4 linked regions of the Caenorhabditis elegans genome follow. The protein of the gene in region 2 interacts with the protein of the main gene of each other region in a pairwise test. Each region holds a gene or a part of one and is shown on either strand. Other genes may lie near its edges.

The links.
Region 1: the proteins of mpz-3 (region 2) and tag-250 interact in a two-hybrid assay, tested with the Caenorhabditis elegans proteins (one large-scale study listed by BioGRID).
Region 3: the proteins of mpz-3 (region 2) and F48G7.10 interact in a two-hybrid assay, tested with the Caenorhabditis elegans proteins (one large-scale study listed by BioGRID).
Region 4: the proteins of mpz-3 (region 2) and F58B4.2 interact in a two-hybrid assay, tested with the Caenorhabditis elegans proteins (one large-scale study listed by BioGRID).

The regions. Positions count from the first base shown.
Region 1 is NC_003281.10:7,918,918-7,926,544, reverse strand, and holds the start of tag-250 (Putative protein tag-250), read left to right. Parts: upstream 1-1,623; 5' UTR 1,624-1,629; coding exon 1,630-1,723; intron 1,724-2,500; coding exon 2,501-2,624; intron 2,625-2,887; coding exon 2,888-2,969; intron 2,970-3,255; coding exon 3,256-3,343; intron 3,344-3,525; exon of another isoform or gene 3,526-3,561; coding exon of another isoform or gene 3,562-3,651; intron 3,652-3,695; coding exon of another isoform or gene 3,696-3,798; intron 3,799-4,002; coding exon of another isoform or gene 4,003-4,007; exon of another isoform or gene 4,008-4,038; intron 4,039-4,421; coding exon of another isoform or gene 4,422-4,492; exon of another isoform or gene 4,493-4,504; intron 4,505-4,627; coding exon 4,628-4,716; intron 4,717-4,766; coding exon 4,767-4,955; intron 4,956-5,264; coding exon 5,265-5,448; intron 5,449-5,454; exon of another isoform or gene 5,455-5,544; coding exon of another isoform or gene 5,545-5,608; intron 5,609-5,992; coding exon of another isoform or gene 5,993-6,202; intron 6,203-6,248; coding exon of another isoform or gene 6,249-6,310; intron 6,311-6,366; coding exon of another isoform or gene 6,367-6,405; exon of another isoform or gene 6,406-6,422; intron 6,423-6,541; coding exon 6,542-6,669; intron 6,670-6,718; coding exon 6,719-6,919; and 7 more. Other genes in the region: C29E4.17 (Spiroplasma plectrovirus-related protein), read right to left, coding at 3,562-3,651, 3,696-3,798, 4,003-4,007; C29E4.14 (EF-hand domain-containing protein), read right to left, coding at 5,545-5,608, 5,993-6,202, 6,249-6,310, 6,367-6,405.
Region 2 is NC_003280.10:6,563,291-6,567,130, forward strand, and holds mpz-3 (PDZ domain-containing protein), read right to left. Parts: upstream 2,107-3,840; 5' UTR 2,061-2,106; intron 2,031-2,060; exon of another isoform or gene 1,958-2,030; intron 1,864-1,957; coding exon 1,765-1,863; intron 1,582-1,764; coding exon 1,501-1,581; intron 1,452-1,500; coding exon 1,257-1,451; intron 1,213-1,256; coding exon 1,078-1,212; intron 1,029-1,077; coding exon 828-1,028; intron 760-827; coding exon 544-759; 3' UTR 504-543; downstream 1-503. Other genes in the region: F18C5.5 (Vegetative cell wall protein gp1-like), read right to left, coding at 2,254-2,377, 2,427-2,870, 2,912-2,978, 3,338-3,371.
Region 3 is NC_003283.11:633,386-636,583, reverse strand, and holds F48G7.10 (Phorbol-ester/DAG-type domain-containing protein), read left to right. Parts: upstream 1-1,628; 5' UTR 1,629-1,690; coding exon 1,691-1,865; intron 1,866-2,110; coding exon 2,111-2,442; 3' UTR 2,443-2,683; downstream 2,684-3,198.
Region 4 is NC_003283.11:10,917,072-10,920,079, reverse strand, and holds F58B4.2 (Cytochrome b5 heme-binding domain-containing protein), read left to right. Parts: upstream 1-1,606; 5' UTR 1,607-1,678; coding exon 1,679-1,777; intron 1,778-1,976; coding exon 1,977-2,045; intron 2,046-2,271; coding exon 2,272-2,373; 3' UTR 2,374-2,488; downstream 2,489-3,008. Other genes in the region: Zinc metalloproteinase nas-31, read left to right, coding at 1-21, 69-310, 525-716, 762-984.

The sequences.
Region 1 (7,627 bases), on a different chromosome or scaffold from region 2:
TGCTAACAAAATCAGTAATCTTAAAGGCGCGCCTTAATTTGTTAGGTTAGTTCGCAATGCGTGGCGAGACCATTCTAAAATAAATGCACCTCCTTGAAAATCGTGGAAGTGGAAAAAAGTTATATTTTCTAATTTTTGTTAGATTTCCCACGTGGATTTTAATTTCAAAATGTTTCCACTGTATCTACTGATGCAACTGCAATAGTCTCTGTCCGCCTGTACAAACATAAGCTCTTTGCAATATTCTTCAATGCTTCTCCCTCCGAAATCCCTGTGATATTTTCCGTTGTCTTCCCCTCTAAACACCCGTTCTCATCCGATGAATATTTGGCGCAAAACGGAAAAGAAAATCGACGTGTCCATCTACATGTACTGTGTTCTGTATATGTGTCTGCGTCTCTCTGAGTATAGCTCTGCTTTGCTTACTTTCCCATGCGGTCCGTATTGTCTTAACAGTTCACTTTATTTGCTTATCATTGATTAGTGGACCAGCTTGGTATTAGAAATTAGTTTTCTGAATTATTCAGATATATTTGAATTTCACCACTTTTATTTTATCCACCTACATTTCACATTCGAATAATAAAATAATAACAAATCTCATTCTTTCTTGCCACTTTTTATTCCCTCTCCTCGTTGGAACAATGGGAACAACGAGACAAGCAACCGAATATATAATTCCTTCCTTTTACAGTCTGTGTCGATGTAGTTTTTCCTGGTCTATAGTTAAACTTTCACACACGTGGAATAGGGTGTTGTGATTTCAGTTGGTACACAGGAAATGTATTTCTTTTTTTTTTTTTTTTTTGGCTTTTGAAGATTTGTTTAAATTCTAAATTTTTTGAAATAGAAGTGGTTTTGACCCTATAGTATCAGTAATCTTCTCTATATTTTTGCGAATAAAAAACGCCAAAGATCTGGATCAATGAACTCTTCGACCTTTGTTCTAATGCACAATGAACAGTCAGGCGAAGAAATTGCGAAAGAAAGTGTCAAACAAGGGCCGTGTCCATGTTTGCCTTCCGTTCATTTCCACGTCAAGACAAACTCAACTTTTTGAGTGTTTTCCCCAATTTTTTATATTGATTTATTTTTACTGTTTTCTTTTAAGAAAAGTTAACTGACAATCAAAGCTGAGACAAGAAAAATTCGAGAAACAAAAAAAGTCAAATTTGGATTTATTTCGATACTTGAACATTTTTGAGTTTGCGCTCTAACTGTAATTATTCTAGCAAATTAACCTTTGAAAAATATATCAAAAATAAATACTTGTTAGAAAAAAGTCATTTAAAAAACATATTTCTCAAAAAAATATTTTGGAAAATATGTAAAATGTTTGAAGTACACTAAGGATTTTTTTTTTGCATTTTTTGGCGCTAAAATACCAATTTTTTTGTAAAAAATTTATAAAATTGTTCTATTGTTTCACAATTCAATCCAGATACACATTGCATAAAGAAAGTATGAGTGTGTGACAAGTCTTCACCACCTTTTTCTTCTTCTTTTCCATCTAATCCCCCACTTGATTCACCCCATCTCCTTCTCGAATTACTGCTTCGATTTCTTGCCTCTGCATTCTGCATTCTCTCCAAGCAATACCTCTATTTCCATATTTCTTTCAATTTTCAGATGACAACACCGCCAGATGGCACGTCATCATCTTCGTCTGCAAAATTCATGTCGGCGGTTAATGGTTTGGTGCCGTCTACCATTTTTGATCGAAGTAAGTTTTTTTTTCTATAAATCATACAAAATGGACAGTAATGACCGAATATGACTGATAAAAAAATTATTTTATGATTTTTTCAATTTTACAAAAATAAAACTGGTGAATATGACAAATTTTAAAGCATTTTCCAGCAGAGGAAATTATTAAAAAATGTTAATTGAAAACGTTTAAAAATTAAAAAAAAATTCCTGAATTTTTAAAAATAGATTTTTCAATTTTCAGAAAAAAAAAACGTTTAAGTTGTCAGTAATGTCAGGGATTTTCAACAAAAAATTAATAAACATTGAATTTTCGATTTTTTCGTTCAATTTTCCAAAAATGGGAGGTTGTCATCAGTTTTTCAAACCAAAAATTAAAGAAAAACAAATTTAGAAAAATAATTTAAATTTTTTAACAGGCTTATTCGGCAATTACGGTCTATTTTTTTTTAATTTGAAGCAAACCTAAAAAAATTAAAAAATAGTTGGAAAATTTTGGAAAACGAGAAACTATGAAAAATCAAAATGAAAAATCTTTTTAAAAATAAATAGGCAAAAATTTTGTTATTTTAACAATCACAAAGAAAAAATCAACAAAGTATTGAAAAGCTAAATAAATTTTTTTCGTTTTTCTCTTTCCCGGCAGAAAAATTGATTTTTCTGTCGGACTACAAAAACATCACAATTCTCACACACTCAAACAGAAAACAAAAATAATCCGAAAATTTTTCCGATTTTCTACTTTTTTTTTGTTGTTTTCAAAAGTCACATTTCATCATCATAATGGTTTCAGTTAACTCGGACATGGATGTTTCGGAAGAAATGGAAGAGATTCGAGAAGTTCTATATGAGATGATCAAAACTAATTTTCCAATGGGTGTTGCAGCAACTCATCTTTCGGAAAAATATCATGAGGAGTAGGTTTTTTTTGTAGATATTTTTCAAAATGTTTTTTTCAAAGAAAAATCGAAAAAAAAAATCAAATTTTTAATAATTCCGGATCGTTTCACCACTAAAAAATACATGTTATTTTTTAATCATTAAAATATCAAAATCTATGTATTTTTGATAAATTTTCGATTTGTCGATATTTTTCTAGAAAAAGCGAAAAATTTTCGATGGCGCTCTTGATAGTAATTACTGTTTTTTTTAGAAAATTCAAAAGTTTTTTGGTTTTCAGATTTGTTTCAAAAGGACTTGGACGTGAACTTCCCGAAGATTGGATTCAGCAAGTCACTGCTGCAGAAGAGTTTGAAGCTCAGGTATATTCTAAGCTATCAAAAGTATTATATCACCTAAATTACGGTACCCGGTCTCGACGCGATTGAAAACTTAAAAGAGTGTGCGCCATTCACGAGTACGACACGAGTACGACACAAACAAAAACAAAAAAAACGACTTCAATGGTCATAACTACAGTACTCTTCACATATTGTAGCGCAAATAATTTCAAATCGTCCCGAGACCCATTATCGTAATTTTTCATGAAAACCGCTACTTTTCGAGAAATAAAGACTAAAAAATTATTCCAAAAAAAGCAATTTCCAGACACGCGGCCCCATCACCATACTGTTCGTCCGTCTCTCAAACACATCATCGTTCAAAAGACCACCCATAAATTCAGTAAATGTACGAGGTGAATGAATACATTCTGAATACATTTAAATAGACACTCAAAAAGTGAAAAGAAATAACAATTATGTGAACATGCTGTCGGAAAACGGGGACACACATACAGAATAACTGTCCTTTTCTTGTCCTTTCTATGTCTCTTTGTCCCTCGACCTAAATTATTAGTTTGAAGTGTTACTAGTAAAATTACTAATTTATTTTTATTCGAAAAATATTTAAAAATCAAATAATTAGTTTTTGCTTTTTCTTCTTCTTAGTTTCTGCTTCAGAATCCGGTGGCCTGTATGAAATTTTCAGATTGAATCCGCCCATCTAAAATATTTAGAATTAACTGAATAAATTCAAAAAGAAAATACCCTCCTAATCCGCATTGTCAAATAACCACCCATAATTATTGAGAAAAGTGTGAGCAACAGGATGGATCCCAAGAAAATCCATTCGATTATTTCATTGGGTAAACTGCAAAAAAAACGGAAAATGAGGGGTTTACTTAAAATTACTCAAAATAATCATGAAATACGAAAAAATGATGAAAATCGACAAGAAATGAAAAATCTGTCTGATAGGTTAAAAAGTGTGTATAATTTTTCATTCTTTTTTGATTTTTTAAATGATATTTCTTAATTTAAGACTATTTTAGATTCGTCGAAACAAAATTCTTACCTCATCAATAGCTTTTTGAAACACAAATTGTTAAAAAAAAAGGAAAACGTCCCTTGACAAACCACTGTTGTAAAAAATTACTACAATATGAAGTTCACGTTTTTCAAAAAAAATATACTAGAAATTAATTCTGATTATTTCAAAAGTGATGAAGTAAATAATTGCTAAATCAAAGGAACCTGTTCAAACAGTATTACAAACGATTAAATTAAAAATTCCCGCCAATTCTTCTATTTATTTACTCGGTCATAAGTATTCCCAACCTAATATATACTCACATTTCAACGACTTAATTAACATCACCTCTTTACTGTCCAATCCCCTTTATTCTTTGCTTAGCCTATCCCTTCATTGCATGAAATTGATCCCATCATCCAAAGCCTCCTGCTGCTGATGCTTCATCTAATCCCTACTTTCAGCTTGCCCAATTCGCATTAACACCACGCCCCCTCTGTCTTCTCTAACCTTAATTCGAATATGGAGGAATTGAATTCCGATTTCAGTGAGTTCTAATCGTTGTGTAATTATATACTCACTCGTAATTTGTTTTTTGTTCTGCACCAAATGTTTTCTAAAAATATTTTGTATTCTTTTTGAAACATTTAAACATTCAATACTTATTCAGTCATTTCCACGGATCGAGAACCAACTGCGGATGAGTTGAAAAAAATTAAACAAAGAAAAGAGAATGAGCCAACGGAGCATGCAAAAACGGTATGTTTTTTAAATTCAATTTTTTAAGATCAATTTTATTTAATATTCAGCTTTCTCAACAATCTGTCGCTCTAAAAGAAGGATCAACTGTGTCAATCGTCTATGCAGATTCGCCAAAGAGATTCTTTATTCGAGCTCTCGCGGATGACGATCAGTATGAAAAAATTGGAACTACGCTCGCTGAGATTTATGCTCAAGAAACTCCGCCATCGGCACTCGATAGTCGAGTTGCAATTTATGTAAGTTCATGTGCTCAACTGGCTTCCGACGAAAAAAGAAAAAAATTGAAGTTGTTGAAACAATTAAAAAACGTAAATATTTTTTGATAAACATACAAAGATGAATAAAAGAATTCAAAAACTAATATTTCGGATAACGAATTAAAAACTATAAAAAACCCGAAACTTGTAAAATATACTTTGTAGATCTACAAAAAACGTTTGGAGTTCCAAAGTGGTTTTTTGTTGCCTTTTTGGTTCGAAAAATCCAAAAAATGCCCAGCCCTGGTACTTTTACATAAATGAGACAACTGTATTCATTAATTACAGGAAATTGTGGCTGGTGGAGCTTATGCCCTTCAAGATTCGAATGGAACATGGTTTCGTGTAATTGCCAAGCAGCCACCACAATCCGGACAAGTCATGTGCCATTTTGTGGATGTTGGCGTCTGTGAGAAATTCCCTGTGGCGGCGATAAGACTCTTACCACCTGCTGTGCATCCAGTAATGTCAAGTGAGTTTTTTTAAATTTTTATTAAAATCTAAAAATAATCACAAAAATAGGTAGAAAGTTAATTTATAGAGTAAAATTAAAAAGCAATATTCGAGTCTATGAGAACTTCTTTGAATATTCGCTGAAACTGATCATCCCATCTCCATTTTTATCGAGTTCGCTGAAAATGTATATTTTTGAAATATCATTATCGATGATGAGAGCCCTTTTGTAATCGACATGGAAACGAGATGTATGGTCAATTGACAACGCTCCGCCCCCAATCCACGTATTTCGTTAGGTATTTGACGGCAAAACGTTTTCAATTAATTTCGCCGATTTTTAAGCAGTTATTTGTTTTTATTATTGTTTTTTTATAACTTCAAAATCAATAAAGCTAACGGAAAACATAACAAAACAGGCGTATAATGCTTGAAAATTATACCTAACGAGACCTATGGGTCGTGGGCGGAGCACTTTTATTTGGCAGTGTAGCGCGCTTCCACTTCAATTTCTATCATTTCAATTTCTAATAAAGACGCCTTTTTGTGCGTCTTAATAATACCTGAGAACTAGATCAGCTTGTACTTCAATCATCTCTACATCCATTTTAGTTTTCTCATCCGAGTGTTCCGTTATCATTTTGAAGAGTTCAACACCATCCAAATGATTATCCTGATTGGTGTCACCAACTTTAAAATAATAAAACTTTCGATCTTTCGATGATGTGTGCTTTTCGATTTCAATCTTGTTCCCGTAATGATCTTTTAGATGTCTAAAACAGTTAGGTTAATTCAAAAAAGGAAGTATCTCAAACTCACTCAATACTCAAATCATCATCCGAAGCGAAACTGTGTACTTTCCTATCGAACCCGTTAACGGTCTAGAAATGTCGGATTATAAAAAAATTATAATTGAAAAAAATATTTAAAAACTCACCAAAACCACTAGAGCTAACAGAAAAAGAGCGCTGAACATCTTCAAAAAGTGATACTAATTTTGATTTTTGTTTCTTTTTTGCTAACGTGTATTAACCAAGAAAAAAAATATAAAAAAGTATGAGAAATCAATTTATAAATTTCACGTTTAATTTAAAATTTCAATGAATTTTCAGTCGGATCAATGGCTCGAGAAGTTCGTATGGATGTCAGTGAAGAAGAATCATTGAGGTTGAATAATAAATTTGTTGATTTAACATTCGAGACAAAAGATGATGGAATTCAGGTTCCGATAAATCTAACAGTGAGTAATATTTATTTACAAGTATAATATCTCACGAATATTTTTTCAGCTTTCAAAGTTTGACTCCTCAGACTCCGAATCTTTACCAGTTGTAGATCTTCAAAGTTCTGATGGCTTATCAATTACCGAATTTCTTAAAAAACCATCTGGAGTTGTTCGATTGAGTACTCCAACAAAAACAACTTCACCTATTACTCCGGCTTCTGCTTCAACATCCAGTTTGACATGTCTTTTTGACAAACCTGCGACGGTAAATATCTTCTATTGATGTTTAGAAATTTTAGAATAACATTTTCAGATCCAACCAATGACCGTTGCTCAAATGCCGATGTCAGCGTTCCCAGCAAATGCAATTTTCGCTGCAGGACCCACGGACATCTCATTACGGCAACTTTCATTAGACCCGATGCCCGATTATATGTATGCAAAGTTGAAAGACGAATGTGCTCTGCCTGATTCTCAACTGGAAAGTTCTCCTGATTTTGGAGGGTGAGACTTTTTTTTTTGATTTGAAAAAATTTAAGCTAAATATTTGAAAATTTAGATTCTACGCGGCTTTTATCGATGATCGTTGGGAACGTGTTCAGTGTATTCGTGCGAGTAAAATTGGTAGGTATATTTATTTATTATTTTATTTACTGTACCAGGAAATTTTTGAAAAAAAAATTTTCGAAAATTACTGTACCAGTTCTCGACACAACAAATTTTCATTAAATACAAGAGGCTGTGCGCTTTTAAAAAGTACTGTAAATCAAAAGATCTCGTTACTTTGGAATTTTTATAGTTTTTCGTAAAAATGTTTGAAATTACAGTACTCTTTAAGACGCACACATCTTTTCATTCAACATAAATTTGTCGCGTCGAGACCGAATACCGTAACTTTGAAAAAAATTGCAAAAATAGTTTTGTAATATTGAACTGTGATTTTGGAAAAATTTAAATATCCTGTTCAAAATTG
Region 2 (3,840 bases):
TGAAAATGAGAGCCAGTATGCATCCAGAAATGACAGATACACACTCTCATCCATTGCCTTTTTCCAATTCTCAGTCATATTTTGGCGAGTGAGAGCGGCGGGCGGACACGGACACGGACAACCAGACGCACAGAGTCGGTACCAAGCAGCACCGGCCGTCTCGTACGTCTCTCTGTCCGTGCACAGTGAGAGACAGGAAGAAAAACTAGTGGAAATAGTGAGTAGGACATAGAGACGCAGACGTTTGCTAGATGAACATTTGCAACTCTGTGAGACAACTAGGAGCAAGAAAAAACGGACGATGATGTGAGACTAGAAATGTTTCAAATAATGTGTAAAAGCTGTAGGTTTTAGATTCATGAGGGTTTCGAGGAGAAACCAATCTGGCATTCAACAATAAATAGAATTAGGCCTGCCTTTTTCAAATCACAGGTTGAAGGACCGTAAATATTTGTGTCTCTAGGCATAGGTTAGGGATGGATAGAACGGTAAACAACCAAACAAACACTTTTTGAAAACTTTATTTCGAACACTTTTCTCAAGTTAAGATCCCACACGTTTTGGAGTCATTTTCAGGGGCTTCGGAGACGGAATGTACGGGATGCGAACTTCTGGGGCAGGATCCGATGGCAAGGTGGCTGGAACTGGAGCAGGGGCTGATGCGGCGGTTGTTTTGATGATGCATGGAGGATTCTTGCACGGTTTCTTGTAGAAATCTTTGTTTGCCTTCATAATCTCCAAAACATCAGGAGGAAGAAGCTGCAAAGAAGAAAATAAAAACATGTTTTGGTAAATGAAATGATAAGAGGAAATGGGTTCAAACTGACCACATCAAACTGCTTGTTGGCTTTTCCTTGGGGTGGTTTTGGAGGAGGAAGCATCACTGAATTTCCAGATTTCTTCACTCCAGCAGGTGTGCTCTGTGCACCATCGGGAGGCGGTGGAGCAGGACCAAGTGGATCAGTAGTTGTGGATCTTTCCAATGTAAGACGGACCGTTTTTGTGTTGTTGACACTCGCGTAGAGAAGCTGAAAGTAAGTTAATTACTAAAATAAAATAAGAAAAATACTACAATACCTTTCTAGCAGAGTCACGATCAAGAACATAAATGTCATTAACTTTAACAAGAATATCTCCATCCTTGACATAGTGACACGCATTGGAAGCCGATTGAACCATTGAAATAGTCACAGTTTTTGGATCAACTGCCATCTGTAAATCATCCATGAAAGTATAAATTGTCCCTGATTACTAACTCTATGAATGATAATCCCTGTTGCAGCACCTCCACGATAAGTGAAAGTCAACTCAACCATTTGAGTATTTGGACGACGTGGTGGCATTGGTTTTTCAGTGACAAGGCAATGATCGTCTCGCATGAATTCAATTGTCACTTTTCCGGGAAGTTTTGCACTAATTGCACGGATAAAGTCAGCAGTTGTCTTGATGTTCTGGAAATGTTTGATTAGTTGAAACGGAAAATCTTAAAATATTCCTTACAGTTTCTCCATTGACATTCAGAATCTCATCACCAGCAAATAGAACACCCATCAGTTGGCTACTCACATCCACATATGTAATCTGCAATGTGATTATTCAAGATCTCTTCGATTTTTGAATTGAAAATGAGTCTTTTTACAGCCTCGAAGGAAATTGCAACCGGACTTCTTATTTATTAAAGAGTGTTCTACTGTTCTACACATCAGGGCTTTTGAAGTTTTATTCGGCTCTCGACGCGAGCCCTGTGTTGGATTCTTTATTTACCTTTCCATTGACCACATCACATGCTACAACCACATTTTTCCGTTCGAATTGTACTTCTTCTTTTCCTTTTACATGAAAACTATTGTTGTTGGTTGCCATCTGTAAATAGTACGTGTCTATCTCACAGCAACCCACTCTCGCGTCTCCTGTAACTAGTCGAGCGTCTATGCCTTTGGACCCAGCGCACTCGCTGGCCTCCTTAGCTCAGTTGGTAGAGCGTGAGACTTTTAATCTTAAGGTCAGGGGTTCGAGTCCCCTAGGTGGCTTGATTTTTTGCAGTCTGAATATTAACTTACCCCGAATAGATTGATGCGAAGATGAAAGCAACTGTCGACAAGGAAATATTTGAAACTGATTCAGTTTCTCTTTTCACTTTTTATTTTCTGATTTTTTTCTGTGTAAAACGAATTCAAACGATGTCACGCGGGTATATTTATTAAATTAATTAAATTATTTATTATTAATTAAAATTATTATATTTTGATGAGATCAATGGAATGGAACAATCCAATCAGCGTTGTCTTCTGCTTTTGTCACTTTCTTTTCACTTCCTCTTACAAACTTTGAAAGTCTTGAACGAATTGTATTCAGATCTTTGCTGTATGTTGGGGCGCTGAAATTAATTAATATTAGATTATTTTCTCCTGATTTGAGTAATTCACCTATGAGCTCTAGCTTCGGACGTTGTGTCATTATCAGATTCTTCAGTTTGAACAGTTTCCATAGCTTTTTCAGCTGGTTTCATAGTTGTAGTTGTGATTCCAAGAAGACGTTGGAAACTTGGTGGCATTGTCAATGCAGGCATTGTTGGCATTCCAGGAATTGGAGTGAAAGTTGGGAAAGTATGTGGAGCAAGAGTTGGAAGAGTTGGAAGGCCTTCTGCAGACAGGACTGGTACAGGTACTGGAATGAATTGTGGAAGTGGAAGAAGTGGTGGAAGAAGTGGAAGTGTCATTGGAAGTGGTTTAGCTGGAGCTCTTTTCACTGAACGATTAGCTTTTTGAGCTGGAAGTGTAACAACTGCTGGAGCACGTCGGATTCCTGTAGAAGCTGGACGAAGAGATTTAGCAAAAGGAGCATATGCCGATAATGATGGGAGGGGTGATCTGAAGAATAGATTAAAGAAAAAATGGAATAAATGTTAAACCTTCGAACATCTCCTCTCGGTCTTAAAGCACTTGCTCTCGGTACAACTTCATAACATGCAACGAATCCTGAAATGTTGAAATTAATTGAATTTTGAAGTCAAATATATTGATCAACTGAAAATTATATAGAAGCAATTTTTCTGGACTGGTTTTTTTTGCGATTTCGTGCAAGACGAAGAAAATATGAGAATCGAAATTTGGTTATTTATAGAACGTTTCAATTTATTGACGTACAAGCAGAATTCATATTGGGTAAAATTGTTATGACTAAGAAGTTTTGGATATGTCAAATAAATTAGTTATGTATTTTTCTTAATATTTTTTAAAACAAATTTGAACATATTTTAACCCAATTAGATAAATATTTCCTTTACCATTTAGAGCTAAATTTAGGGATAAATCAACGAAACAATCGAAAAACTAACCGATGACACAAACAGCTAACAGAAGAAGCTTCATTGTTGATTCTTTCCACAAAAATGAGAAGACGAAAAAGATAGAATAAGCCTCGAAGGCGTCGCTTCTTATCACTTTTCTTCCTACGATTTCTCGTTTTGCCCTTATCAATTAGCCATCATTTTGTGGAAATCTCAATGAAAATTCCCGTTGAAAATGAAAAAAGACAATGGATATCCACCACTTGTACACTGTCTTCAATAAGATGAAAGTTCAGCTAACATTAGTTTTTACAAACAGGGATATATTGGATTATCGTGATATTGAACTTGCTAGATTTTTATTTAATTCTATGTTGTTCAGAACATTAGTGTTCGCTGTCAATTTTTAACATATACTTTGTAAAGTATCCCACTTGTGACATGGTTTTACAACAATGCTATGCAAATTTGAGGACACTCAAATAATGGGCGGGACATAGATGATACTCGAGGTGGTACTGTTATAATCGTACCATTTTTATTTTCGCAGT
Region 3 (3,198 bases), on a different chromosome or scaffold from region 2:
TCTGTAATTCAAAAAATAAGAAGTATACTAACATTAGAGGAAGGGTAAATTTTATGAAAATCCGAAACAGTTTTGATAAGACGAAAAAATTGTTTGTTCAATGTTCAATGTTGCCGAAGAACACTAGGGAGGTAGAGAATTAGAGATGAGCAATAGAATTGGGAATGAGAATCGGTTTTTTGTGTCCTCCATGCGTGCAAAGAGAAATTCAATTTGATAATTCTTCATTTCCAGGCACAATCATAGGAATTTTAGAAAACCACAATCATAGGAATTTTAGAAAACCACAATCATAGGAATTTTAGAAAATTTTTGAAACTGTCTGATTTGGACATTTTTGGCAATTGGAAACGAGAGTGTCGGTTTTACGATTTTTCAAAGCTAAAACTCGAAAAATGACACCGTTGATCGGCAACTCTGTTAACTTCTGAAATTTACCCTTGTAGTAACTTGGTGATTTTCGGAAATTTTTTGACCATTACATAAATGTTTTTTTTCTGAAAAAAAGTTTATAAAGCCTATGAGTGATTTTTTTTAAAGAAATGGTTAGTGTTTTCCGGAAACAATAATTGTTAGCAACCCTCTTCATTTAGATTTTTTAGAATCCATTATTGAACCTTAAAGTGCGAGATACCAGTGAATCCAAATTAGATGTAATTCATCGTATCAAAAAATTTGATTATTTTTCACAATACGTCTAACATATGACGGGTCTCTCACACTCTGCGTGTCCAGCGAGGTCACAAAATGCGTATTCGACACGCTTTTTGTGTCGGCCGCGTACACGGAGACACTCGTCTCGTGGGAAGAAAACAGTGTTGGAAAATTGGTTAGACAGTTTAATCGCACGGTTTTTATTAATAGTACCATCTTAAAACTGACAGTAATTTTTGGTCTGGGCTGATGTGTAAATCGTTAGCAAAAGTACAAAAACTTGCATTTCAGAATCAATCTCAAAATGCAATTTTTGCTGAAAATTTATAAAAACCTCATAAGAGAAAGGAAATTACCGTTTGCATTGAAAATGCCGTATATTTTTTTCGGCTAATAACGCAACTATTATATTTGATTATTTTATAATAAACTTTTTAACGATAAAAATAATTTTTAAATTCAACTCACATTTTCCTACATTTCAATATAAATTTTTCAATAAGTTGTTGAAAATCAGCTACTAATGTATCCTCAAATTTTTTGAAGAAATTTTTTTTAATACAAATTTAATACAATTTGTTTTCTTTGTGAAATTTTCATACTCTGATGTTTCTTTATTTTGAAAAAGTTTAGCCCTAATAGTGAAAAATCTTCAAAGAAAAAGAACCCAAAAGATTTAGATTTTAACAATTTCCTGTCAATATTTTGTTAGATTGCAATTGTGTGACCACTTTGAGTTTTCACCACTTTTGACTGCACAAAAAAATTTCAAATTTGTTTTGGAAAGATTTCCCTATCATAAATTCTTATTTTGAGTTCATATGAACTATTTCAAACATTTTTCCCATACTTCACCAATTGAACTTGTTTTTTTTTCGTCCCTACGTTGTAAAGAACCATTAGAGAACGTGGAGAGCGCAGACAACAAACAAGCAAAAAGTAGGCGGCGCCTCAGAGTCAGATATAAATAGAGTATCGGGATTTTCAACTGAATCTACAGCAGTTTTTCGCTCATTCACGTCTACCCGTACCAACAATGTCCACCGAGCCACAATTTGAAAATCCATTCATTGATCGTCAATTGGATGGATCAAAAATCCACGAAATTTCCGGGCACAGGTTCAAGGCCACGGCTCTTGTTCAGCCAACCTGCTGTGCAATTTGCTCCAAGTTGATCTACGGACTCGGAAAACAAGGCTACAGGTGTTTGGGTAAGTTTTTTGAATTTAATACAATTCCTTAAATTTTGGAAAATTTATTAAGCCCTGAAAAATTAATTCGAGTCTGACCCAGCTGTGAATTTAGACCTTAAATTCCCTTGTGGCGTTTTGAACTCGGGCAAGAGTAGAACAAGACTTAAGACTTACGTTAAGCTTCTCACCGGGGCCTGTATGTATCTGTGTCGGATGCTAAAAACTGGGCATATGTACATACTAAAGTCATTTTTAATTTTCAGGCTGTGAAACTGTTGTTCACAAACGCTGCCATTCCTTAATAAACGATCGTTGCAACTTCGGCCCATCATCTCCCCGCCAGCCACCTCCACAAGAGCTTTCCAGTGATTCTGGAGAGCTTCGGCACAGGATCCCATCGCCCACTGAGCCCCAAGTCTCCACCAATCATCACTTCAACAAGCATTTCTACACCCGACCAACGTTCTGTGATCACTGTGGAAGCCTGCTCTACGGGCTCTCCAAGCAAGGCGTTCAATGCTCGGATTGTTTGGCAAATGTGCACCATCGTTGTAAGGAGAAGGCGGTTCACAATTGTATTGTTTCAAGCCAATAATTCAAATAAGTTTTTATGATATCTAAAAATACCTTCTAGGCAGCATAAAAATGCCGAAATATGTTCCTATAAGGCACATAGGTAGGCGTTTTTTGCCTGCCTAGAAAACACATTTCACGCTGATTCTTACCACCCTGATCTCTTTTTCTTTCATTATTTTTCTTCTTCTCCATAACAAAAAAAAATGAATTTTCAATATTTTTATAAGACTAGAAAGTTTACCCGTGAGATAAATACTTGTATAAACACATTAAAAGTATTCAAACATTTCCGGATGCGAGAACTCGATTGAAAATACGTCAAACACTTTTGCAATGTGAGCTTTTTCTTTCAGCTCCCGAATGTGGGCTTCCAGCAATCGAACAATTTTCATCATTTTCGTCAAGCGGTCCGAATAGTGAGGGGTTCGCATTCTGTTCATGTAGTAGTTATGGAGATTGTCTGCTTGAACTTGAAGTATTTTTTCAATGATTTCCAGGTCCTGGCCTTCAACTTTTCTTAGCATAGGCTTTAAGCACAGTTGAATAAACATGTAGTTGAGCTCAACATTTGTTGGTACCAATAGAATCAGAGCATCTATAATAGCCGTCCAACTACTGATCCCGGCAAGGAGAAATCTGAATTTAAAAATTTACAATTAGCTCAACCAAAATTACTCACGGCTTCAACTGATCCATTGAGTGGTGTGTGCAGAAGGAAATATCAACGTCGAAATCATTAATATTCATACACTTCCCCTCGCCGACCATTAATACA
Region 4 (3,008 bases), on a different chromosome or scaffold from region 2:
GGTATACTTTGTGACCAAAGAGTTAGTTGTGAACTGCTTTATCAAATGGGTCATCTTTACCTTTCCAGCCTCCTGGATGTGGTGACAGTGTAACTGCCACGACTACATGGCAAACATTAACAAACACAATTGGAGATGGACTTCCAACACTTCGTGATAACCATACAATGTGTAATTATTGGGTGAAAGCACCAGATAATCAAGCGGTAGAGATTAGAATATCAGGATTAACAACTGTTACAATTGATGGATGCATTTTTGGAGGAGTCGAAATAAAGACTCACAAGGACCAGAAGTTGACAGGTTACAGGTTAGTTATCAATTAAATTATAGATTTTTTGAACAAAATTTGTTGAAAATTAATGATATCATATAGGCTTTCAATTAATTGCCCAGTATTGGTCGGTGAGGCCTTGGGAACACTTCATTCTCAGAAACAGATTTCGAAAATTATTTTTGCTACAATGAAATAACTACCATTTCCTCAACTTTAACATATGTATATGTACGAGTATTTTTTCCAGGTACTGCTCTTCTGCAGACCAAAACACTGTGCATCGTTCAACTGGCTCACTAGTTCCAATAATTTTATTCAATCGATATGCTAGTACAAAAGCTGTTCTTGAGTATCGTGCTGTAACTCCATCTGTTGATGTCTCAGCAACATACACAACATTTGCACCGATTGTTAACAGTTGCCAGGATTTACATCCGAAGTAAGTTTAAATTCCAAATATTTTCAAAAGTTCTCTCATTTTCAGCTGCGACTTTTACAAGTTTTTCGGCATGTGTCGAAGTAAAAAAATTAGGAGTAATTGTAAATTCACATGTCACGATTGTAATAATAATAATGCATCGCCTTTTGGCTCTAACTTTTTCAATAATAATTACAATAGTTTCAATAACTGGTACACGAATAAAAACAAAAATTACTACCCCTACTCAAATTCAAATAACAATAAGCCATGGATGTGGTTTTTCTAATTTTTATTCGTTTTTTTTTCTAATTTACAGTTGTGCCGCGTATGCATGGAATGGTTTTTGTGTTAATCCGTTCTACTCAATGCAAGCTCGTCATTACTATTGTGCATATACTTGTGGATTGTGCTGGATGAATAATAATAATAATTTTTACTAATTTTGAACCTGTTATCAATTTGAAAAGAAACGGGTATGCACTACCTTTCATTGTATGTAAACTAAAATGAAGTGTTTTTCCATAATTTTTTCTAATATCTTCAACATATGCTCACAAAAATTCGTAAAATTTGTTTAAATTCGGGTTTTTTCTCAACCCCTTTAAAAGTTAGTGTTTTATTACATTAGAAAACAATTTCCATGCTTCTTCACATGTTAAAAAGATTTTTCAAATTTCTCAAATTTGAACATGTCGGACTACATAATTTCTTACTGAGATCTTGATAGATGGTTATGCTATAACCAAAGGACTAATAAAGCATACCACGTTTATAAAATGAATAAAAATGTGCACTTGGCTTCTTACGGAAACGCTATCTCGTCTCAAATTCAAATACGCTGAATTATTCATTGAACCAAGATGCCAAGACCAGACGTCGCTTCCGTTCTCTCACGTATTTTTATTCTCAACTTGTGCTCTCATAGCAACCTCTCCATTCATTGATCCTCTTTTATTTCTTTTCTCGATTTGAGTAGAAGAATGACTGCAAAAACTGAAGATAATCTGAAAGAATATACAAGAAGTCAAGTGGAACAACATTGCACTCACGATGATCTGTGGCTTTTGTTCAGAGACAAGGTACTTTTTGCGGTTTTAAAAATACAAAATATTGAAGTTTAAAGTATTCCATTGGATATTTCATAAATCCCATGGTTTGCAAATTATCGTTTAATTGAACTTTTATTGTTGATTTTGAAATGAATGAAATTATAGAAAAATTAGAACATTTCTGAACATCTGAATTTTGGTATTATTTAATGATGAATGTCTTCTTCAGGTTTATAATATGACTCCATATTTCAACCAACACCCTGGAGGATTAGCAATTCTTCGATATGCAGGAAAGGTAAGCCTTGTTTTTAGTTACTACATATAAGCTGGTTATCAAAATTTTAATATTGATTTATGCAAAAACCAACGGCAATTTTTTAGATAAAAATTTTTTTTAAAAAATTTTGCATTATTTGTTTCAAGTTCATTCTAATTTTTTAATGCAGATCACACAAAACAGTAAAACTTGGACATTGTGTAAATGTTATTTCAACGTTGTTTCCCAACAATTATTTTTCCAGGACGTAACAACAGTTCTACCATTTGTTGTATCTCATGGCATTGCTTGGAAAATCGTGGAACAAAAACTTCAAGAGCATTTGATTGGCAAATTGAAGGAATAATTTACTACATATATTAAACAATTGAACGTTCAGTTTCAAAATCATAAAGTTATATGACTATTTTGTTGAAGATGCACATGATCACACGCAATAGCTCTTGACTTGCAATAAATCACTGACGAGAGGGTGATGTGTAAAGAAAAAAGTGTTATCTCACTTAGAGTGCAATAAAAGAAACGAGTGAAATATGTTCCACAAACCTATAAGAACACCGATATTTGGTTTTTTACTACTAAATCCCTTATGGTCATTTAAAATTCCTACTTTATTTTGCCAATAGCTTATGTAGGTAACAGGATCCCGGTCATTAAAATTTTTGAAATGTTTGAATGTCTATTCATAGTAATATTTTATTAGTCTACCTTTTTGTTTCTAATTCTTCAAATAATGTTTTTGCATTTTTCTTTGGACAACGTCGCAGACTAAACATTTTAACATTTAACTTATTCTAGCAGACAATAGCAGACAACCTACAAAAAAATGTTGAGTAAAAGCAACAGTTTACAGAGATTTATTTAGATCCAACTCTGCCAGATCAAAAAAATTTGATTTTGTTGTTGCTAGTTTTTCAAATCAATGTGTTTATTGAAATGTTTCAACTTTCTTATTATTGTCTTTTGAAACATGATACAACA